2 linked regions of the Canis lupus familiaris genome follow. The protein of the gene in region 1 interacts with the protein of each later gene in a biochemical or structural test. Links are inferred from orthologs where the notes say so. Each region holds a gene or a part of one and is shown in the gene's direction. Other genes may lie near its edges. The genes, in order: XIAP and MAP3K2.

The links.
Region 2: of the proteins of XIAP (region 1) and MAP3K2, one has a biochemical effect on the other in vitro, tested with the Homo sapiens proteins (2 studies listed by BioGRID, with this or other methods). The link is inferred for Canis lupus familiaris from reciprocal best matches to the Homo sapiens genes XIAP and MAP3K2.

Annotation. Positions count from the first base shown.
Region 1 is NC_049260.1:96,091,890-96,104,283, forward strand, and holds the start of XIAP (E3 ubiquitin-protein ligase XIAP), read left to right. Parts: upstream 1-1,923; 5' UTR 1,924-1,931; coding exon 1,932-2,808; intron 2,809-3,873; coding exon 3,874-3,973; intron 3,974-4,976; coding exon 4,977-5,043; intron 5,044-6,139; coding exon 6,140-6,182; intron 6,183-12,215; coding exon 12,216-12,394.
Region 2 is NC_049240.1:24,623,698-24,636,091, forward strand, and holds part of MAP3K2 (mitogen-activated protein kinase kinase kinase 2), read left to right. Parts: intron 1-4,531; coding exon 4,532-4,662; intron 4,663-5,505; coding exon 5,506-5,585; intron 5,586-7,211; coding exon 7,212-7,279; intron 7,280-7,439; coding exon 7,440-7,535; intron 7,536-8,558; coding exon 8,559-8,765; intron 8,766-9,786; coding exon 9,787-9,935; intron 9,936-10,313; coding exon 10,314-10,445; intron 10,446-12,394. UniProt on the Homo sapiens protein: Component of a protein kinase signal transduction cascade. Regulates the JNK and ERK5 pathways by phosphorylating and activating MAP2K5 and MAP2K7. Plays a role in caveolae kiss-and-run dynamics.

The DNA of each region.
Region 1 (12,394 bases):
ACCGACTGAGCCACCCAGGCACTCCATGAATTTTTTTAAGTAAGCTCTGTGCTGAACATGGGGCTTGAACTCACGACCCCAAGATCAAGAGTCTCATGCTTTACCAACTGAGCCAGCCAGACACCCCTCATAATGGAATTTTTAATTAACTAAAATCCCAAGATTTTATTTTTTTTATTTTTTTTTTAAATTTTTATTTATTTATGATAGTCACAGAGAGAGAGAGAGAGGCGCAGAGACACAGGCAGAGGGAGAAGCAGGCTCCATGCACCGGGAGCCCGATGTGGGATTCGATCCCGGGTCTCCAGGATCGCGCCCTGGGCCAAAGGCAGGCGCCAAACCGCTGCGCCACCCAGGGATCCCCCAAGATTTTAATCTAGAGGTTTGGCTTCACATGACTTCTTTCCAAACCAAGTTTCCATTTTCCTTTAGTTGTGCCACAGGTTTCTAAAGTCAGAATGTAATGTTTAATATCCCTATTAAATTTCATCTCAGCCTATGAGACAGCCTTGGTTATTATCATCCAGTTTATGCTCATTGAACAAGGGGTCTTGAAGCTAGTGTCAAAATGTTTTCAGACATCTGGGAAACAATAATGAAAAGTCATGGAGACTATCTTCCAAAAATAGTTCTATGCAGATATATCTCTGCTCTTGCGGTATATATGAATTACTACCATTGTAAATTGACAAGACCAGGAAAGACTGAAGTTTATTGCCACCCTGCAAGACTTGTGTTGAACATTATTACACTGAAATGATGTTCCAAGACATATTGTGCTAACATAATGCCAGGGCTGCTAATTCTTCCCAAGAAATCAATTAATTGACATATGAAGTAGAGGCAGAATTATCATGACCATTCTTTTTCTTTTTTTTTTTTTTGCCAAACATATACTGAGCACACACAGTATTAGGAATAGTGCGAGATTCTAGAGAATCAGGTTTGCCTGGGGCAACCCTGATTTATCCCTGTTGTCCTAGTGTAATTATTAGTAGCATCATTTTTCACTTTCCAAAGTGTCCAGGTTTGGAGGATAAATTATCTGGCCACCCTTCTCATAACCCACCTAGTTCCTTTAGTATTTTATTTCGGTTATATGTTACACAGCTATAATGTGGCAATTTTAATGAGGCTGCAGTAGTACTTCTCTTCCATTTGAACAGATCATTTTTCGACCATGGGAAGTTGATAGCAAAACTTACTGCAATTAAGGTCTATACATACTTACTATCTTTCCTGAGCTACCCTCTAGAGGGCAGTAATATATACATCCGAAATGATCCAATTCCCACAGAAAATGGACTACAGGAGTCCCATTTTCATATGCATGAAAATCAGAAACACTCAAGTGCTCTTAAACACTCGATGCTCATATTGGAACCAGTGTTGTGAGTAAAACTCAAATACCTTTTGCTAAGCAGAAAAGTAAAGAAATAATAAAAATTAATTCATTAACATTCTGAACATTTTTTTTAAATTGAAAAACTGAACTTTGATGGCTTGAATATATAATGATCTATTATAACAATTATGCATAGAGTTTAATAATCTGCATAATTTATGCTTTTGTTTTTCCTAATTAATAATTTTACATGGTTAATAATTTTAATATATTCTGTATCACAGTTTCCATATTTACATAAAGTAATCAATTAAAGAACAGTTTTATTCTACCTGCTTGAATATTACTTTCCTCCAGAAAATGAAAATGCTGGTTTTTACTTTATAAAGCTTGAATCATATAATGCAGAGCTCTAGTATTTGGAATTAGAATGTTTTTTTTAGAGATTGTGTAATTAATTTTATGTCATCAGGTAATTTGTTAGCTCCTAATATCAAAATTATATTGCCTGTGTTTCAGATTTTGAATTTTCTAATGTAATGTTCTCTTTTCAGAAAAGGTGGACAAGTCCTATTTTCAAGAGAAGATGACTTTTAACAGTTTTGAAGGAGCTAAAACTTGTGTACCTGCAGGCATCAATAAGGATGAAGAATTTGTAGAAGAGTTTAATAGATTAAAAACTTTTGCTAATTTTCCAAGTAGCAGTCCTGTTTCAGCATCAACGTTAGCACGAGCTGGTTTTCTGTATACTGGTGAAGGAGATACTGTGCGGTGCTTTAGTTGTCATGCATCAATAGATAGATGGCAATATGGAGACTCAGCAGTTGGAAGACACAGGAAAGTATCCCCAAATTGCAGATTTATCAATGGCTTTTATTTTGAAAACACTGCTGCACAACCTACAAATCCAGGTATCCAAAATGGTCAATATAATGCAGAAAACTATCTGAGAAACAGAGATCATTTTGTTTTAGACAGACCATCTGAGACTCATGCAGATTATCTTTTGAGAACTGGACAGGTCGTAGATATATCAGACACCACATACCCGGAGAACCCTGCCATGTATAGTGAAGAAGCTAGATTAAACTCATTTCAGAACTGGCCAGACTATGTCCACTTGACCCCAAGAGAGTTAGCTAGTGCTGGATTCTACTACACAGGTATTGACGATCAAGTGCAGTGCTTTTGTTGTGGTGGAAAACTGAAAAATTGGGAACCGTGTGATAATGCATGGTCAGAACACAGGCGACACTTTCCTAATTGCTTCTTTGTTCTGGGCCGGAATGTTAATATTCGAAGTGAATCTGATGTTGCGAGTACTGATAGGAACGTCCCAAATTCAACAAGTATTCCAGAAAATCCAGCCATGGCAGATTATGAAGCACGGATCGTTACTTTTCGGATGTGGATGTGTTCAATTAACAAGGAGCAACTTGCAAGAGCTGGATTTTATTCTTTAGGTAAACTTTATTATAAAACCAGGCTAATAAATAACTTTCCAACTATCCCAGTCCCCCTAAAAAGTGGATTCCTTTAGCCCCCTGAACTGGTAAATAAAGGCTGGCATGATTAATCTGTGAACCTTTATGTTGAATTTGCAGTGTAACTACTACATTTATGTGAAAAAGGACTACTATATTGTGAGTTATATTTATCTTTGTTTTTTTGGAGAAGGATTACATGCAAAAGATGATAGATCTCCCAGATAGAAGAATGGGTCTGACAGTAATATAAACTATAATTTATTGAGCACCTACTGTATGTGCTCAGTACATGTATCACATGCATTCTTTCTATACCTCATAAAAAGAGTTAACATTAGAGAGTTTAGTTTGGCTGATATTAAAATTGATACCTGCCTTTTGTACATAGAGTTTATATTTGAAAGCTGCCCTGTATGCCTTTTTGCTTCAAATAAGCACTTCTCTTTTTTTTTTTTTTTTTTTTTTTTAAATAAGCACTTCTCAAATGGACTACTGTAAACTTGTCAGGAAGGGCCCTTAGTGTGATGACTTCCAGGAATATTCAGAAAAGTTATACCATCATATATCTGACTCATTAGCTTTAGGATTGAGTAGTGCCAAAATACAAAATATTAGTTATTTCAATATTTTATTCACATAGTATCCTGTAGCAATTTTGAAGGTTTGTTTAGTGTCATGTAGCTATAACCCTAGAGAAACTTACTTTGTAATTTTGTTAACCTGAGCCTTATTGTTAAAGTTTCACAGTTTGAAAAAGTGTAGTATTGGTAGACCCAAATGATAACAATTTTAATTTTTCACATAAAAATTGGTCAATTTATTTTGTCTTCTGTAAAATACCTCAAATTGAATCAGTGAATTTAGTGTGTATTCCCTCCTCAAACAGTCATGGCTGTTATTTAAATGTGAATTTGAATGTCGTCTTTGAAGCTGAGATTCTCATGTAATTTAAAATGGTTAATTTCATGGTGTTAAAGGGGCATTTTTGCATAGGCTTCTAATTGCACAAATACATGTATTTTTACTTGTGTCTCTTCTTAGGGGATGGTGATAAAGTAAAATGCTTTCACTGTGGAGGAGGACTAACTGATTGGAAGCCCAGTGAAGACCCTTGGGAACAACATGCTAAGTGGTTTCCAGGGTAAGGTATTTAAATGTTTATTTAGGAACAGGCAAGTTAGACACTTTGCAGTCAGGAAAATCTTGAATAACTTTTCACCTAACTATTTTTGCCTTCACTATGGCTTGCAATTCACACCAAGTTTATAAAAATGGGGTCACCTACTTTATAGAAAAAAAAAGGCCCTAAGCCTTCTCTGGTGACCAAAGCATTCATTGCTTATATGTTATATATATGACATTCAAATTATTCTATTTCTAAACACTAATTAGGAATATATAGTTTTGTTGTTAGAAGTAGGCTCTTTCACAATGACCACGGGAGAGCCCTTGTTGCCAAGGATTTTTTCCTTGGAACCCATCACATCCCCTAGCAAATTTTACTGTATCTCTCTGATTATAAGACACACAATTGTTCACATTTTCAAATTTTTGAAATGATACATCTGGTGGTGGGTCATAATTTAATTGGCAGCGGTGGTACATAAAATAATCATCCTTCTTATAATCAGTGGCATCTTAGAATGATAATAACATACTCTGTCTCTTTGTCATCTTGTTTCTTTAAAAATATTCATACATATAAGTGATGTAAAATTTTTGACCTACAAACTAGTACAATTTAAAACTTCAGAGCGATTGTTTGAAAATAAATCTTAAGCTTAAAAAGCCTTAAAAGGAAAGGTTGAAAGCCTAAGGAGTTCCTTCAGAGTGTGTAGTTGGTTAATCCTCTAAACAAAATTAAACTATTTAAAAAATTAAATCTTAAATTTAATAACTTGGTTTAAGGTTGGAAGTTCTCAAGTTGTTATTTTTTGCCTAAGATTACCAAAGAGTAGTATAACAAAGGAACGTATTTCTTTAACTTTGAAATGACAGTTGGTAGAGATTAAATAACATTTCATTTTGCAGCTTCTTAGAAATACCAAAAAGGAAGTTAATGGAATTAAGATAATGGAGATATCTGTATTTATACTTTACTGATTTATCAGCTACCAAAGTTTAACCTTCTTTTAATTGTTTAGGTGTAAATATCTGTTAGAAGAGAAGGGACAAGAATATATAAACAATATTCATTTAACCCATTCAGTGGTAAGTCACATATTGTAGAATATAAAATATTATTTAATTTGTTTTGCAATGATTTCTTGGTGTAAAATTCACAGTATAGTATCTTAAATTAATAATGTATGGTGGGCTTTAAAGGGGAGATCTTGAAGAATGCTTGTTATTTCTTTTTTTTTTAATTTTTTTATTTATTTATGATAGTCACACAGAGAGAGGGAGAGAGAGGCAGAGACACAGGCAGAGGGAGAAGCAGGCTCCACGCAGGGAGCCCGACGTGGGATTCGATCCTGAGTCTCCAGGATCGTGCCCTGGGCCAAAGGCAGGCGCCAAACCGCTGCGCCACCCAGGGATCCCGAATGCTTGTTATTTCTTAACCTGAAGTAGCTTTGTGAAAGAGGAATCCCCATAAGCTGATTGATTTAACTCACTGTAAATAAAAATGGGTTTGAAGAACTAAAATACTTAATCCCTCAACTTTCTGAAATTAGACTTTTGTATAATGTGTTTTATACTCATAAATAATTGTGAACTTTCCAAAGGCAATATTTTAAATCTCAGAAGCGTGTCTAAATTGATGGCAGCCTGGGATGGCTAAGGTATTGGTACCATGTGGGAAGAGCCATGGACTAGAATGGGAAGCCAGAGTTGTCATTTATGGCTCTACCATGAGCTCCCTTGCCTCAATCGAGTTGTTTAAACTCCCTGAGACTCAGTGCCCTGTCTATAGAGTGAGTGGATTGTGTTAGATGATCTTTTAACTTCCTTCTAGTGGGGATCCCTGAGTGGCTCGGTGGTTTAGCACCTGCCTTCAGCCCAGGGCGTGATCCTGGAGTCCTGGGATCGAGTCCCACATCAGGCTCCCTGCATGGAGCCTGCTTCTCTCCCTGTGCCTGTGTCTCTGCCTCTCTCTCTTTCTGTGTGTCTCATGTATAAATTTTAAAAATCTTAAAAAAAAAAAACCTTCCTTCTAGCTTCATCAGGTTATGCCTCTTGCAAACATTCATATGTTGAATTGGAATAAAGCCAATTTATAAATTCATGATTAGTGTAACTTTTCAAATTGAGGTAATCATCTTCTACCAAAAAGAATTCTAACTTATAGTCCATATTTCTATTTCAGCTAAGAACTGCTGAAAGAACACGGTCATTAACTGAAAGAATTGGTAAGTATGTACATTAAAATAAATATACTTTTAATTTCATTAGCAGTTTATTACAGTTGTTTTTTTATAGGGTAGAGACATAAGCTTATTTTTTCAAGATAATCAAAGTAGATTTATTTGAGATGAGATTGCTATAAATTTAAGGATTAGGAAGTGCCTATAAATTTAAGTCAGTTATAGGTAGCTGGGTGGCTCAGTGGTTGAGCCATCTGCCTTTGGCTCAGGTAATGATCCCAGGGTCCTGGGATCGAGTCCCACATTAGGCTCCCTACAGGGAACCTGCTTCTCCCTCTGCCTATGTCTCTGCCCCTTTCTCTGTCTCTCATGAATAAATAAATAAAATCTTTTTAAAAATTTTAAGTCAGGGCAGCCCAGGTGGCTCAGTGGTTTAGCACGGCCTTCAGCCCAGGGCGTGATCCTGGAGACCCAGGATCGAGTCCCATTTCAGGCTCCCTGCATGGAGCCTGCTTCTCCCTCTGCCTGTGTCTCTGCCTCTGTCTCTCTTCTCTCTCTCTGTGTCTCTCATGAATAAATAAATAAAATCTTTAAAAAAATTTTTAAGTCAGATATTTATATAGTAAGAACATTCATGTGACTCATGTAACACTGTACATTAATTGTACTGGAAAAATTTAAATTATACTAAATTATATTATAAGTTATATAATTATATACATTACATAAAATGATACTAATTATAGTAAAGTAAAAATAAAATTTTAAGAAAGGACATTCCTATGGCGGTTGTGCAGTTAGCTTTTCCAAGCTTAGGAGGAGCAGCTATAGGCTGTCCATTGCCATTTCTGTTAAAATCCCCAAAGGAAGAGAGATAAGTGTATTTTTGTCCCAGGTACTTCTTGAGTTAGCCAGGACCATGAATCCAGTGCTGTACTAATGTGCCATCACCATGGTCGGCCCTACCTGCTTCCTTATCCCATGCCATTCTTGAGCCTCCCCCAGTTTCTTCACAGAGGGGCATGGTTCAGTTTATCTTCTCTTACCTTATAGAAAGGTAGAGATTTTTATCCCAAAGATTATTTACTCATCATAAACATCTTTAAAAGCCAGAAAGATACCAGGATGCCTGGGTGGCTCAGCGGTTGAGCATCTGCCTTCAGCTCAGGGTGTGATCCCGGAGTTCCGGGATGGAGTCCCACATCGGGCTCTTTGCATGGAGCCTGCTTCTCCCTCTGCCTATGTCTCTGCCTTCTCTCTGTGTCTCTCATGAATAAGTAAATAAAATCTTTTTTTTAAAAATCCAGAAAGATACTATGTTAAGCAAAGATGATATTGTTATCTCCACTTTTCAGATGCTGAAACAGAGACCAGGAGGTTAAGTGACCCGCCCACAGTTACATTTACAAATCATTAGTGGAACTGGGACTATTAACGGGGTCTTCTGAAATCTGCATCACACTGTGGATCTCATTTCCAGCTTAGGCATCATGTTTCAAAAATAGTAGAAAGTGTAATTTAGAATATGTCTGCTGATTCCCCATTCCTTATACCATCATCTTTTTGGTATCTTAAGGGTTACAAGACAAGAGAAAACTATAAGTATTCATAAATATACTTAAGAAGGAGAGCCACTTTGATAATATTTGATACAGATTTTGAAATGGGCATAAATAATAAAGTTTAAGAAATCATTTATTGGGATGCCTGGGTTACTCAGTGGTTGAGCATTTGCCTTCAGCTCAGGGCATGATCCTGGGTTCCGGGATTGAGTCCACATTGGGCTCCCTGCAGGAAACCTGCTTCTCCCTCTGCCTGTGTCTCCCCCCCACCCCCACCCCGTTCTCTCATGAATAAATAAATAAGTCTTTAAAAAAATTGAGATATGAAAAGAAACAATAATAAAATAAAATTGAGATGTGTAATTCATGTAGCAAAAATTTCACCCTTATAAACTGTACATTTTAGTGGTTTTTAGTAAATTCACAAGGTTGTGGAACAAACCATCACTGCCATTTAATTCCAGAACATTATTATAATCCCAAAAAAGAAACCCTGTATCCATTAGCAGCCACTCCCCATTGCTGCCCCTTCCCCCTCAGCCTCCAGACAACTACTCATCTACTTCTATCTCTCTGGATGTACCTATTCTAGACATTTCATATGAATGGAATCATAATATGTGGCTTTGAAGTTCATCCATGTTGTGGTACTTATACATGATTACTTCATTCTTTTTTTATGGTAGAAAAAGTTTCCTTAGTGTAGATAATACCATGTTCTGTTTATCTACTCATCAGTTGGTAGACATTTGGGTCTCCAGTTTTTGGCTCTTATGAATGATATTGATGCTGCTATGAACATTTGTGTGCAAATTTTTGCGTGGACATAGGTTTTTAATTTGCCTGAGTATATATTTCAGCATGGAATTGCTGGGTCATGTAGTAACTCTACATTTAACTTTTGATAAATGGCCAGTTTTCCAATGCGGCTGTACTATTTTACGTTCCCACTAGCAGTATATAAGGATTCCAGTTTGTTTTTCCATATCCTTGTTAACACTTGTTATTGTATATGTTTTTTAAAAATTTTATTTCTTTATTTGAGAGAGAGTGCGCATGCAGAGGGAGAGGGAGAAGCAGGCTCCTGGCTGAGCAGGGAGCCCAATGGCGGGGCTCAATTCCAGGACCCCGGGATCATGACCTGAGCCTAAGGCAGATGCTCAGCCAACTGAGCCACGTAGGCACCCCTTGTATGTTTTTTTTTTATAGCCATCCTAGTGGATGTGAAGTGGTATCCTATTGTGGTTTTGATTTGCATTTCCCTGATGGTTAATGATGTCGGGCATCCTTTCATGTGCTTATTGGCCATTTGTATGTCTTTGGAGAAATGTCTCTTCATCGCCTTTCCCCGTTTTTTAGTTGGGTTATTCATTTTTTTGTTATTGAGTTGTAAGTGTTTTTTATATATTCTAATATTTTTACAGTTACGTACCTTGTCGGATATATGATTTGTAAATATTTTCACTCGTTCTTTTCACTTTCTTGCTGATATACTTTGAAGTATATAAATTTTTAATTTTGATGAAATCCAATTTATCTTATTTTTTGTTGCTTATTCTTTCAGGGCTATATCTAAGAAACCATTGCCTAATCCAAGGTCATCTATGTTTTCTTCTAATAATTTTATTACTTTTTAATCTTTTTAAAAAAGTTTTATTTATTTGACAGGGAGATAGCGAGAGAACAGACAGTGGGAGCAGGCAGAGGGAGAGTGAGACACAGGCTCCCTGCCAAACATGGAGCCAATTGTGGGGCCTGATCCCAGGACCCTAAGATCATGACCTGAGCCAAAGGCAGGTGCTTACCCAACTGAGCCACCCAGGCACCCCAAGTTTTATGGTTTTATCTCTTACATTCAGGTCTTTGATCCATTTCAAGTTCATTTTTGTATGTGTGTAAAGTGGGGGCCCTTCTAATTATTTTTTATATGGATATCCTGTTGCCCATGCTTTTGATTTTCAGCAAAGTAAGCTTGAGATACCTGCAGGGTATCCAAGTAGGTGGGTCTTAAAACCTGGAACTCATAAATAAGGGTAAAATTGTGGTAGTGGGGCAAGTATCCAGAGAGATTGTTAAAAAGGGGATCATTGAGGTAATGGAAGGGAACCACCAGTGTCTAATCAGGTGAGCAGAAGGAGCCAGCAAAACAAGCTGGGAAAAAAAACAAGTAGAACCACGAAAGAGTGATGTCCAGCTGACCTCTGGACATCTCCACCTGGAAATCTTAAAAGCAGCTCAAATTCAGCATTTCTAAAAATCACTCAGACTGAATCCAGGCTTGTTCTTTGCACGCCCCCCCCCCCAACATTCGTTAATAGTTTAATAGTTCACAAGGTCGCCCAGTAATTTGAGCCATTTTAAGCTCTTTGCTTTCCTTAATCCCTCTACATTTAATTAACCACCAGGTCTGATGAATTCAGCCTTTTTAATATTGTCTAAAATCCACTGGTTCTGCCCTACTTTCTGCCCTTATTTCTCATTCAGATTCTTTAGTAGTCTCATAAATGGTCTTTTATCTGTATTATAACCATACAACAGTGTTCTCTTTATCAAACAGAAATCTTGGGATCCCTGGGTGGTGCAGCGGTTTGGCGCCTGCCTTTGGCCCAGGGCGTGATCCTGGAGACCCGGGATCAAGTCCCACATTGGGCTCCCGGTGCATGGAGCCTGCTTCTCCCTCTGCCTGTGTCTCTGCCTCTCTCTCTCTCTCTCTCTCTCTCTCTCTCTCTGTGTGACTATCATAAATAAATAAATTTAAAAAAAAATCTTAAGGTACTTTCCTACTTTTGTTACTTACTATGTAATATTTCTTATAATCAAATCCCTTTCCAGCTCCTCTTTTTAAAAAAAATTATTGAAGTATAATACATATACAATAAAATGCTTAAAATAGACTTAAGTATTCAACTCAATGAATTTTTACATGCATTTATTTGTGTAGTCATCAGCCAAATCAAGATATAGAACAGGGGCATCTGGGTGGCTCAGTTGGCCAAGCGTCTGCCTTCAACTCCTGTCATGATCCTGGGATTGAGCCCCACCCCCTCCCTGCTCAGCTGGGAGTCTGATTCTCCCTTTGCCCCTCCTCTGCTAGTGTGCTTTCTCTCTCTCTCTCTCTCTTTCAAATAAATAAATAAAATCTTTTTAAAAAAATAACATTTCTGCCAGGCCAGAAACTCCTTCAGGCCCTTTTCCCAATCAATATCTGTCCCTGATTTATGTTCTGACTAACCATAGATTAGATTTGAACATCTTAGAAATGTAATCATACAGTGTATTCTTTTGTCTCTGGTCCATCATTACGATGACATTTTGTTCATCAGATCTGTGAGACTTATCTATGTTTCTGTGGCAATAGTTCGTTTTTCTGCTTGCTCTGTAGTGTTTCAATATCCCAATTTACTTATCCATTCCCCTGGTGATAGATGTTTGAGTTATTTCCTATTTGAGGCTGTTATACATGACACTGCTGTGAATATTCTTGTGCATGTTTTTGATGAACCTTTGTCCTTATTTTTGATACTTGAGAATAGAATTGATGAATCAGAGAATGTAAGTCTCCTCTTTATCAGTTCCCTACATAACCTGTATTTCTACTTTGAGTACCATTAAAGTGAGTTTCTATTCATTTTATTGTCACTCCCCTGGGCTGCAGAAACTAAGTCTCAGAGATGGGAAACTCACACATTCAGGGTCAGAGACTGGGACTTCCCCCTATTTCCTGTGATTTTTCCAGAATAATTGCTAGTGACTTGAGAAAGACATCCACTCTTTACATACTTAGGTTAGTTGTGAATACAACTGATTTGAAAAAAAGTTCTGGGGATCCCTGGGTGGCGCAGTGGTTTAGCGCCTGCCTTTGGCCCAGGGCGCGATCCTGGAGACCCGGGATCAATTCCCACATCGGGCTCCCGGTGCATGGAGCCTGCTTCTCCCTCTGCCTCTGTCTCTGCCTCTCTCTCTCTCTCTCTGTGACTATCATAAATAAATAAATTAAAAAAAAAAAAAGTTCTGGGTTTTGAAGTGCTTAACTTTTTCTTACTGGTTTTACCTAATCTTGCACTATTTCTTCAGCCTTTAGAGCAATTAATCTCAATAGTACTATAAAATAGAGGTGCCTGGGTGGCTCAGTGGTTGAGTATCTGCCTTTGCCTCAGGGCCTGACCCCAGGGTCCTGGGATCGAGTCCCATATCAGGCTCCAGGGAGCCTGCTTCTCCCTCTGCCTGTGTTTCTGCCTCTCTCTCTGTATCTTGTGAATAAATAAATAAAATCTTTAAAAAAAATAGTACTATAAAATAATACTGTATTTGCGATGATTAAGATTCTGAAAGAATCTTCAGTGCTTAAATATTTCAAAATCTTCTTCCCAAAGTTGCTTTCATTTGCTGGTTTGTTTTTTGTTTTTCTACTTGCTGTTTACCTTTTTCTTTTTAACTGTACTTTGCTGTTGAGTTGTGTTAATGAAAATAATTGTTTAAACTCTGTGTTCTTTTTCTTCACCAATTTTCATTTCAGAGGATGCCATCTTCCAAAATCCTATGTTACAAGAAGCTATACGAATGGGATTCAGTTTCAAGGACATTAAGAAAATAATGGAGGAAAAAATTCAGACATCTGGGAGCAACTATGTATCACTTGAGGCTCTGGTTTCAGATCTAGTGAGTGCTCAGAAAGACCATACACAAGATGAATCA
Region 2 (12,394 bases), on another chromosome or scaffold:
ATGCTAAAACTAAATTGGATGGACTGAGTTCATAAGCCTTTCTCTAAGTTTTAGTTATTGTAGTACTATCAAAATAAATTAAGAGTTTCCAGATTATTGCTTTATTAGTAGTCAGTATTCATCATTAATAAGAGATTGTTAAAATTAAGCTTGTAGTACAAAGAAACCATGGATCTTTTGTACTGTTTTTAAGGAGGCCTAATAGAGAGGTATGGGCAAGGCAGAGGTGCTCTGACTCCCCAGTTCTGTGGATCTTCTTCAGTTAGTGTAAAACATTGATAATCTGCATTTTTATATGACAAAAGCATTACATTGCTTTTATAGCTGGTATAAATGTTTTTTAACAGATAAGTCAATGAAGGGAATTGTTAAAGACAGCATGAAAACACATGTGAGGGATGAATTTGAAAAGGAAAAGTAGAAGAGGAAGTGAAACATGACTGGAGTGGGCAGGAAGCAGAAGGGGCAAAATAAGAGATATGGTTGGGAATCTAAGACTGGAATAAAAGAGGATTGTTTAATAACAAAAGAAAAGATTAAATTGGTGTGTTGGACCCCCCCACCCCCAAATCTGTTCTTCATCTTCTGTTTTGGCCCTCATAAGAAGCTATTTTATGACTACATCCTTCTAAGTGTATATCTTACATAGGTGTTACTTTTGGTTTCAGAAATGCTGGAAATGTGAGCAGCAGAGATATACGAGTAAAATAGAAATTGCTTATCTTCATTCAGATATATTTTAGTATAGTTTAGAATTTTGGTGAAAGAACATTAGGGAGACCTGAATTCAAATTCCAGCTCTCTAACTTGAGACTAGTAACTTTGTTCTTATCTTTAAATTGTGGGATTCTTGTGATAATAAATTGAAAGAATACTTTTAAAGAACATTTTGCTTTTCAAACTAGAAAACATGACTGTTATTAAACAACATTTCTGGGATGCCTGGGTGGTTCAGTGGTTGAGCGTCTGCTTTTGGCTCAGGGCACCATCCTGGAGTCCTGGGATCGAGTCTCACATCGGACTTCCTGCATGGAGCCTGCTTCTCTCTCTGCCTATGTCTCTGCCTCTCCCTCCACCCCCTCTCTCTGTCTCTCATGAATAAATAAATAAAATCTTTAAAAAAAATAAACATACACTTCTTTCTTCATTGCCTCATCATGTTATAGTATCTATCATTTTTTTTTAAGGTTTTATTTATCCATTCATGCGGGACAGAGAGAGAGGCAGAGACACAGGCAGAGGGAGAAGCAGGCTCCATGCAAGGAGCCTGATGTGGGACTCGATCCCAGGTTCCCAGGATCATGCCCTGAGCTGAAGGCGACGCTAAACTGCTGAGCCACCCAGGCTGCCCTAGTATCTATCATTTTAAAGTAAAAAATTGTCAGTTCACTGTAGCTGCATTAGAACAAGCCGAATGCATTAGTTAAACTGACATTTTAAATTCATTTTGAATTAAAACTATACTGAATACCTCACTCTTGTCCTGCTAGCAAATATTCCAGGTTGAGTTCAGTGCTAGCATAAGAAGAAACTAGAAATTGTAATGTAGTAGAAAACTGTTGGTCTTTTATTGGCACTTTACACTTGGAATGGCTTTGATAGATATGACCCATCATCTTTTTTCCATATTTATTGACAGTTATCTTTTTAATTATTTTCTTTATTATTATCTTTTTATTATTTTAATAGGAGTGTAGGCTGTGGTGTGGAGGTCTCAACCAGTAGCATTGGCATACCTGTTACCAACAAAAGTTAAGAAAAATGGGTTATCTTTGGGTATAAATACTCAGTAGTGGAATTATGTGGTCATATGGTAGTTCAATTTCTGATTTTTTGAGGAACCTCCATACTGTTTTCCACAGTGGTTACACCAATTTACATTGCCACCAACTGTTCATGAAGGTTCTTTATCTTTTTTTTAAAAGATTATTTATTTATTTATTTATTCATTCATTCATTCATTCATTCATTCATGAGACACACACACACACACACACACACACACACACAGAGGAAGAGGAAGAAGCAGGCTCCATTCAGTAAGCCTGATGCAGGACTTGATTCTGGGACTCCAGGATCACGCCCTGAGCCAAAGGCAGACGCTCAACCGCTGAGCATCCAACTGTCCCGTGAAGGTTCTTTTTTCTCTACATCCTTTTTCTCCAGCTATTGTTTCTTGTGCTGTTGATTTATCCATTCTGATAGGTAGGAGATGATATCTCATCGTGGTTTGATTTACATTTTCCTGATGAGGAATGATGTTGAGCATCTTGTGTCTTTTGGTAAAGAAAATGAAATATGAAGAAATTCAAAGAAAAGCTAATTTGAAAAGATAAATACATCTTTATGTTTGTTATAGCATTATTTGCAATAGCCAAGGTATGATGCAACATAAGTGTCTGTGGATAAATGAATAAAGAAGATGTGGAATATATACACAATGCTATATTACTGAGCCATAAAAAAGAATAAGATCATTCCGTTTGCGGCAACACGGGTGGACCTAGAAGGTATTATGCTAAGTGAAATAAGTCAGACAAAGACAGATGCCATACAATTTCACTTATATGTAGAATCTGAAAAACAAAACAAATGAATAAACAAGCCAAAAACCAGAAAGATACAGAGAACAAATTGGTGGTTGTCAGGGGATTGGGGGTTTGGACAAAATAAGTGAAGGGGATTAAGAGGCACAAACTTCCAGTTATAAAATAATAAGGCACAGAGATGAAAAGCACAGTGTAGGGAATATAGTCAGTAATATTGTAATAACATATGATGATGCCAATTACACTTAACAGTGGTGAGCATTAGAATTGTCAGATCACTATGTTGTATACCTGCAACTGTTACAACATTGTGTGTCAACTAGACTTTAGTTAAAATAAAAGAAAAATGTGTTATCAAGTAAACAGATTTTGAAGAAACTTTATAGCAGTTTTTCTTCCCTATCTCCTTTTAGTAATGAGTATATTGATCTTCTTTTATAAAGAAGGGTATATGGAAGGAATGAAAATGCTTAGGACAGTGTGATTATAGCTGTTACAAAGCTTAAGTAAACCCCTGGCCTGAAGCTGAGTTCTTAATTATTTCAGAGTCAAGTAGAAAGTTGATCTTTTCTGTGCATATCTCTTGGTAATTATTTTGTTCTCTTTTTCCCTATCTCCCCACTAACAAATGCTGGCATATACCTATAGCAACTTCTTTTTTATAAGCAGAGCCTTTTTGCTTTATTTTGTTTTTTGTTTTTGTTTTTGTTTTTTTTTTGCCTTTTTGCTTTAAATCTGACCCAAACTTAAATGCTCACATAACTTCCCCATGTCTTTTTTTAAAATTGTTTAATTTCAAAATATTGAGAGAAAAGGAGAGACCTGTGTTAATAAACATAACATTATTTCTATAAAGCCAGGTTAAAAATACAGTGGATTATTGTTTCATAAGAAACAATGGGATTAGTTAGATGAACTATATTAGATTTTTTGAACTGTAAAGAAATTTAAATGCCAGGAATCTGGCTTGTCATAAAATCTAATTTTAAAGTACCTAAGAATAAAATTCAGAATTCCAATTTGGAAACACTCTAATATGACCTTTTAAAAGTGATTTAAGCAGTAATCTCACTTTAGGTTTCTAAAGGTTAAGGAGAGGGAATGGAAAGAGCATGATGGAGCCAAATGGTCATAGCATATGTTCAGTATGAACAATTTTACTATCACAGTGCCCTTGGAAAGGAAGGATTTAGTCTTTGTTTACCCTGAGTGCTGGCTTTATGTATTTTTAAATCTATTTTTTAAATTCAAGTATAATTAACATACAGTGTTATGTTAGATTCAGGTGTACAATTTAGTGATTCAGTAATTCTGTACATTTCTCGGTAGTCATCAAGATAAGTGTACTCTTAATTCCCCTTACCTGTTTCATCCATCCCCACATCCACCTCCCCACTGGCAACCATAAGCTTGTTCTCTACAAGAGAAGGGGTTTAGTCTTATGTTGACAGATGAGGAAATGGGTTTGTGGGGATTGGGTAACTTAACCAAAGACATACAGTTGGTAAATAACTAGAACTGAGATTTAAACAGGTCTAAAGTCCACATTCTTTCCACTACATTATGATGCCTTCCATATGTTCTGTTAAAGGGTAACATATCTAAGTAAAAGTGACCCTTGGAAGTTCAGAAGTGGTGGCATCTAAAAATCTTTATTATAGTATCAGCCCCATAATGCCATTGTCAGCAGTTAGAGGAACATACTACCTAGTAAGTATAAATAAATATTGCAGTGAAGTTAATAATTATAGTAGGGTTGGGAGTTTAGAAAGGTATAAATACATTTGAAGATTTATAGAAATGAATGTTCTTTTTTTTTTTTTTTTAGAAATGAATGTTCTGATAACTTTTAATAAAAACTGGATTTCAATAGCTGAAATTATTGGTATTATGGTCCAGAAATCCTGTGTATATATTTAATTGAAACAAAAATTAGTTCCCAAATGATATTTATAAAATTGTATAATTTTTTTTCCTTTGAGGTCCCACTAGTAGAGATAGAAGCTCCCCTCCCCCGGGATACATTCCAGATGAATTACACCAAGTTGCCCGGAATGGGTCATTCACCAGTATCAACAGTGAAGGAGAGTTCATTCCAGAGAGCATGGACCAAGTAAGCAAAAGTTGGATGTCATTTTTCATTTCATTTAAAAGGATGTCATAGGATTTGTGTGGTTTGTCTGGTGTCTTGTGTGTGTGTGTGTGTGTGTGTGTGTGTGTCCGTGTCCCCGTGTGTCCTCTTCCTCCCATCCTGTCCGTATCTTCCTTCTTAAGTGAACAGAATAGTAAAAAACATAGGAAAATGCTAACTCACTTACATGTGCCTCTGTGTATTCATGTAGAAACAAAGCTGGAATAAGGCTGGTTTTCTTATTTTGCTCATTAAATGCATTTGTTTGTAATCATGGGATTAACATTCAGATTTTTAATTAACATTAGAAAGATACAATAAAACTGCAGATATTTAACTATGTGAAGCTTAGGTTTGTCTACTTTGTAAAATATCTTTAAATGTTTTAGCAATATGGTAGTCATGGTGTCATTCTCAGTTTGAGTGGGGCTGTTGTTCAGTGTTCAGTAAGCAAAACTATGTGAAATCTTTTAGCTTTTAATTATTTAGCTAATAGTCCATAGAGAAAATATTTTTCTCTTAGGAGATTTTGAAGTCATAGCCTACCTACAAAAGGGACCACTACATTTAAAACATTAAAAAATGAATAACTCTGGGAGGAGGTGACTGCTATTGGATATGGGGTCTTCTTTTGGGTACTGAAAGTGTTCTCAGATAGTGGTAAGGGTTCCACAACTCTCAATATACTGTAAACCACTAAATTGTACACTTTAAATGGGTGAATTTTATGTTATATGAATTATATCTCAATAAAGCTATTTAAAAAAACCCAGTAACTGCTTGTTATATCACATTGAATCATGGAGGAACTCTTTGTTTTTCTAGATGCTGGATCCATTGTCTTTAAGCAGCCCTGAAAATTCTGGCTCAGGAAGTTGTCCATCACTTGATAGTCCTTTGGATGGGTAATATTGATTATAGTTTTTATTTTTTAGTATATGTGCATAAATGCATGTATATATATTATGTTAGAAGAGTGTAATTGATACTCATTACTTAGGGCAAATGAATTTTTTCACAGTTTGGACAAATCCCTTAACCTCTTGGAGCTCAGTATCTTTATCAGGTAAAATGATATCTGATTATAATGAGTATTTCTGTTTACCAAAATTGTGTGTTTGAAGCTAAATGCAAACTTAGAATTTATGTGTATTTACTTTTAAAACTCTGTTGGTGGGGTGCCTGAGTGGTGCAGTTGGTTGAGCTTCTAACTCTGATTTCAGCTCAGATCTGATGTCAGGGTTGTGAGATTGACCTCAATGTCAGGCTCCGTGCTCAGAGGGAAGTCAGCTTGGACTCCCTCTCCCTACCTGCCCTACCCCTGCCCTACCCCACCACCTGCAGACGTGTGTGTGTGTGTGTGTGTGTGTGCATGCACGCGCGCGTGCATGTTCTCTTTCTCTCTCAAATAGATAAAATTAAAAAAAAAATACATTTAGGGGCACCTGGGTGGCTCAGTGGTTGAGTGTCTGCCTTTGGCTCAGATTATGATCCCTGGGTCCTGGGATTCAGTCCCACAGCAGTCTCCCCACAGGGAGCCTGCTTCTGCCTTTGCCTATATCTCTGCCTTTCAGTGTCTCTCATGAAAAATAAATAAAATCTTTTTAAAAAAATGCATTTAGTTTTGGAGGTTTCTTGAGTTGTTTCACCTGTTCAGGATTATGTTCATTTTAGCACTAACTTATAGATAACTTATTTTTCTTGGTAATTGTGGCCCAGTATGTTGGCTGTCATTTAAAATTTAATACTTACGTTTTGTGAAATAGCTGTTCAGGAATATAAACTGGATGAAATTGCAACTGGATTTTTTGTTACAGGTGCTTCTTCTTTCCTGGTCTCAATAAAGACAGTGTTTACCTGTAGCATACAGAGTCCATAAAATGTGTACCTAGTTGATCTCATCTGGGATTTCTTTTTGAAGCAAATTCTGAAAATATAACAAATACTGTATAGGAATACACATTTAATTTTCATTTACCTGTACACACAAAACCTTTGTGCCCATGTCTATGTCAAGATAGGTAATTGAAACATTTAAGAAATTCAGGAAAATAGTAATGCGAAAGCTATATATTGAGCACTTAATATTTGAAAGACAGTGTCCTGAGCACTATGTATATACACACACTTGATGAGTGGGAAATTAATATCTTGTTTTTATAGATATGGATAGTCTCAGAAAGGTGATATGTCAAGGTTGCAACTGCTAGTTGAGTGGTAGAGCTAGAATTGAAACACAGTATTTGCCAACATCTGTAATTCCCAAACTTTTCATTTTTACTGCTATACCCTATAGGTTATTTTTAAAAGCCAGGCTTTTGCCTCTGTGCAGTAAATAAGTGTTAGAAAAGAAGTTTCTTTCAGTTAACATTTCAGACAGACCTCCTTTATTCTTAGTATTGCATACACACACACACACACACACACACACACACACACACAATTTCCACCACACATACATACAGATACTGATATTTTAAATGTATTTACATACTTTTTGCTCATTTAACACGACATTTTTTTATTTTTAGGGAGAGCTATCCAAAATCACGAATGCCTAGGGCACAGAGCTATCCAGATAATCATCAGGAATTTTCAGGTTAGACTATCCATATTCTAAATGTTTAAATATGTCATTAAATAGTGCTTTGCTGAGAGGGAGAAGGGAATTTTTTTTAAAAATGAATAAAAATGTGTAAATGTGTTTATTATTAGAGATGTTTGACTTTTTTGTAACATATAACTTTCTTATGTCTCAGTAGACTATGATAACCCTATCTTTGAGAAATTTGGAAAAGGGGGAACATACCCAAGAAGGTATCATGTTTCATATCACCATCAAGACTATAATGATGGTAAGTTTCTGGCAATTAGACCACAAGAACAGCTTGTTAAAAATCTCAAAAATAATCAAAATTTAAAAATATCATACTTAAATAAACCAGTAGAAATAAATTCATTCGTAAATCACTTACTTTTCTACTTAAAACAATTTTCGAAAGGAATTAACTAACTAAAACTGTAGTTACATCTTAGGGTTAGATTATTATTAGATGTTATTAAGTTGCCCTAAGGCAACTTACGTTACCTAGGGTTAGGGCAACTTACCTAATAATACTTACCTTTCCCTCAAAAGAAAAGGTGTAATTAAAGAATGATATTAATTAGAAAATTACTCCTTGATGATGAAATTCATACTTGCATTAAACTTTTATGGAAAAAATTGCTACCTATTAATTTTCCAATTTTTGTTCTTATAATTGGAAATGAGAATAAAGTACATTTTTTCCTCCTTCTTATCCAGAAGTGAGGGAGTACAATGATTTTTTTGAATGTATGCATGTTTTAACAAGAGATTGCTTGAATTTATATTCAGATCCTATTTTTTTATCAACTCTTCATTTTTGCTTTTTTAACCTTTCCTCTTCCTTGTATTTTCACTTTTGACTTCATGATCCAGTGTTAAAAAGGATATTCCCTTGAACTTTATTTTTTATTATTATTATTTTTTTAAAGATTTATTTATTTATGATAGACATAGAAAGAGAGAGAGAGAGAGGCAGAGACACAGGAGGAGGGAGAAGCAGGCTTCATGCCGGGAGCCTGACGCGGGGCTGGATCCCGGGACTCCAGGATCACGCCCTGGGCCAAAGGCAGGCACTAAACCGCTGAGCCACCCAGGGATCCCCTCCCTTGAACTTTAAAAGAAAATATTACTCTTAAGTTTAAAACATGTAATCAAATAACCATTGCTATTTCAGTGTCTTAACCTTAAATCTAGTCACAAGACAGACTTCTGTACCTTATGTCATAAATTTAAATACTTTCAATTATAACATGAATAAAAGTCCTAAGGTAATTCTGTTTTGATTTTGTAGGTCGTAAAACTTTTCCAAGAGCTAGAAGGACTCAGGGGACCAGCTTCCGGTCTCCTGTGAGTTTCAGTCCTACCGATCACTCTTTAAGCACTAGTAGTGGAAGCAGTATCTTTACCCCAGAGTATGATGATAGTCGAATAAGAAGAAGGGGAAGTGACATAGACAATCCTACTTTGACTGTAATGGACATCAGCCCACCCAGCCGCTGTAAGTAATAGAAATTGACACAGTGAATGTTTTGCAGAAAAAAAAAAAAAAATATATATATATATATATATTTTGTAGATCCAGGATTTTGTAGATTATAGATTATGTAGATCTGGGATTCTTTCAGGTATCAAATTCTTAAAAGAATTGCTTTTAATCTTTCTTGTAATGTAACTCTGCTGGTAATGAATTCTTTTAGCTTTTGTTTGAAAAAGGCCTTTTTTTCCTTTTATTTCTGAAAGATTTTTTTTTTCTGGGTACAGAATGCTGGGCAGTTTTTGTTTTTTGTTTTTGTTTTTTTTTTCTGTTAGTGCTTTAAAGCTATTGCTCCATTATCATCTTCTGGCTTTTGTATATTGTTTTGTTTGTTTGTTTTGTTTTTTTGTTTTTGTTTTTGTTTGCTTTTGTATACTTTTTGAGGAAAGGTCTGATGTAATGCTCATCTTTATTCTTCTGCATTTACTTAAAATTTATGTACATATATTTATGTATATATTTATTCTTTATTCTCCCCTCTGGCTGCTTTCAAGATTTTCTCTTGTTAGAATGAGACTGATATTCTTTATAGCTTTCTACATTGTAAGCAGATGGAAAACTAATTACAAATATTGCTGCAATAAACAACTGGGTGTTATACTATATGTTGGCAAATTGAATTTAAATAAATTTTAAAAAGGAAATTAGAAAAAAATGCAAAAAATTATTGCTGCAGTAAAGATTAAAAATAGTGCATCTGACAATCAGTGGTACCTTGGATTCAGTGAAAGATGCTTTACATTTTTAATGGGGAGCAGATATAATCTCACTGGAAAAAAGATGTGGGGATATATGAACCTTATTTGTGTTTAGAATTCTTGGAAAATTTACAAAGTGGTGATCATTATGAATTTGGATGATTATGATTTTCCCTTATATCCAAGTGTATTCAGTTAAGGATATCATTAATACAGTTTACTCATTTAGTTTGTAACTATTTGTGTGCCATCTGGCTATTCCATTTTAAGAAAACATTCTTTTTTAGCACCTCGTGCTCCAACAAACTGGAGATTGGGCAAACTGCTTGGCCAAGGAGCATTTGGCAGGGTCTACCTCTGTTATGATGTCGATACAGGAAGAGAATTGGCAGTTAAGCAAGTTCAGTTTGACCCTGATAGCCCTGAGACCAGCAAGGTAAGAATCACTGCACAAGCTACTTTGTCACATTTATAAAAAGCATTTTTACTAAATATAACACAATAGAATTTTTGTTTTTTCTTAATACAAATTATTTGCAAAACAAATCCATATATAATTAGATATATTTGTTTACTCTGTACTGTGATTTTTTTTTTCTCTTTTAGTGCTCCGTAATGTTCCTATCTAATTTAGGGTTGCTTTAGTATACCATCAAGGACTGTTATAAAAGTTACTGTTTAGAGACTTTAAAATGTTTATTCCTTGGGAAGTAAAAATTTCAGAATGAAATCACCTCGATGGTCCATGAAGTTCAAATGTTTTCCTTTTAACTAGCAATGCTATAAAGACTTAACAGTGAGTTCTGTCTTTCAGGAAGTAAATGCACTTGAGTGTGAAATTCAGTTGTTGAAAAACTTGCTGCATGAGCGAATTGTTCAGTATTATGGCTGTTTGAGGGATCCCCAGGAAAAAACACTTTCCATATTTATGGAATATATGCCAGGGGTAAGTTGTTATGTCCTTTAAAAATAGACATTTTCTCTTTAAAGTCTTAGTTGAGGAAAGAAAAACAACAGAACTCTGATTATAAAATGTAAAGTAGTTAAGGACTTTAAAGACATTTTGAAAGTTTTAAATTAGAGCTATGTAATATAATTTTTTTTTGTATCTTCATTTTGTAGTTCTTAACTCATTTAAAAAAAAAAAAAGCTGAGGTATACTAAAGTTATAGGTACCATAGCAGTCCATACTCAGATTTCCCTAAATGCTCTTAAAATAACCGTAATAGCTGGTTTATCCAAACCAGGATCCAGCCCAGGACCACACATTACCTTTAACTGTTATGCCTCTTACTTCTCTTTTAACTTAGAACATTTTTTACATGACATAGGTTTGACAAAGAGACTGGGCTAGTTCTGTTGACAATCTCCTCTCATAGATTTCTCTAATTGCATCCTCATGGTAGTGTTTAATTTGTTCCTTTATTCTCTTATTTCCTATAAACTCCAAGTTAGATCTAATATCTAAATTAGATTAAGATTCAGCATTTTTTATTAGGTGCATCTGTGATGCATTCTAATGATGCTGTGCATCTCGTGTTGCATCGCATTAGGAGACATACAATTTCTAATGGTTCTACTGTTAGTGATGCAAAGATTGAGTGCTAGGTTAGGATGATCAACATCCAGATTTCTCCAATGTAAGGTTTTGTTTATTCCTGAGGACCAGAAAGTAATCTGGGCTATTAGCACATAAGACTATCTAGTTCCTGGGGTGCCTGGGTATTTCAGTCGGTTAAGTGTCCAACTCTTGGTTTCAGCTGACATCATGATCTCAGGGCTTGTGAGATTAAACCCTGCACCCTACATTCAGCTCCATGCTCAGTGGGCAGTCTGCTTGAAGATTCTCTCCGTCTGCTCCTCCCCCAACTCACATACTCACGTGCTCTCTCTCTCTCTCTCTCAAATAAATAAATCTTTAAAGAATAAAAAGAACACAGTTTCCAGTTCCTTTTCAAACCATCCTTTTCCAGGTTTTTAATACAGATTGGTAATCATTGCCTGAGTCAGTAGTTTCGGTAGGAGCTGCAAAATGTGACTTGCAAACTGTCATTCCTTCTATGTTGTTTTTAGTATTTGTAGAGTACATTTTAGTATTAATGATTTTCAAGATGGTGGTATATTTACTCATTTAAAAATACATGCATTCGTATAATTTAATTGGTAGTATATATGGTATATTACCTGATTTGATTTATGGGTCTTTAAGTAGATTTTTTTAAAAGATTTTATTTATTTATGAGCGGTACAAAGAGAGAGAGAGGCAGAGACATAGGCAGAGGGAGAAGCAGGCTAACCGCTGAGCCACGCAGGTTTCCCTAAGTAGATTGTTTATTAGAATTGTATGTTTCATGTACAAGGTTGCAGTTTAAGCTATGGATCTGTAAAACTATGGATCAGTATCTGATAGTCATAGTCTTAATCATCCAGTTTCATAAGATCAACAGTTAAGTTTACTTTCTTATTATCATGAATAATTAATTAATTTTTTATAGTGACACAATTGTTTATAGTTACACATCACTGCTACTTTGTATTTTCAAAGATCCTGTTGACAAAGTAAATTAGTTTGTTTTTTAAGTACCTTTGGAAAACAAATTTGTGATGGAAATATCAGTACTCACAGTGAAAGTAAATTATGATGGCATTGCCCAAGAGAATATATTAAAATCACGAAGGCTATGTAGCAAAGTTGGAAGAAGTAAGAAAAAGAATATAAAATGCTTTTAAATAGTAATGAGGCTATTTTAAAAATATCTGTATTTGGACAAGGACCCAAGAAACTTGAAAATGTGTTATGTTGAGATTATGATTGATTTTTCTTTTATTTAGATTTCCATTACTGTTTGGGCAATAAATATCTGAATTAGAAATAAAAATTAAGGCATGCCTGGG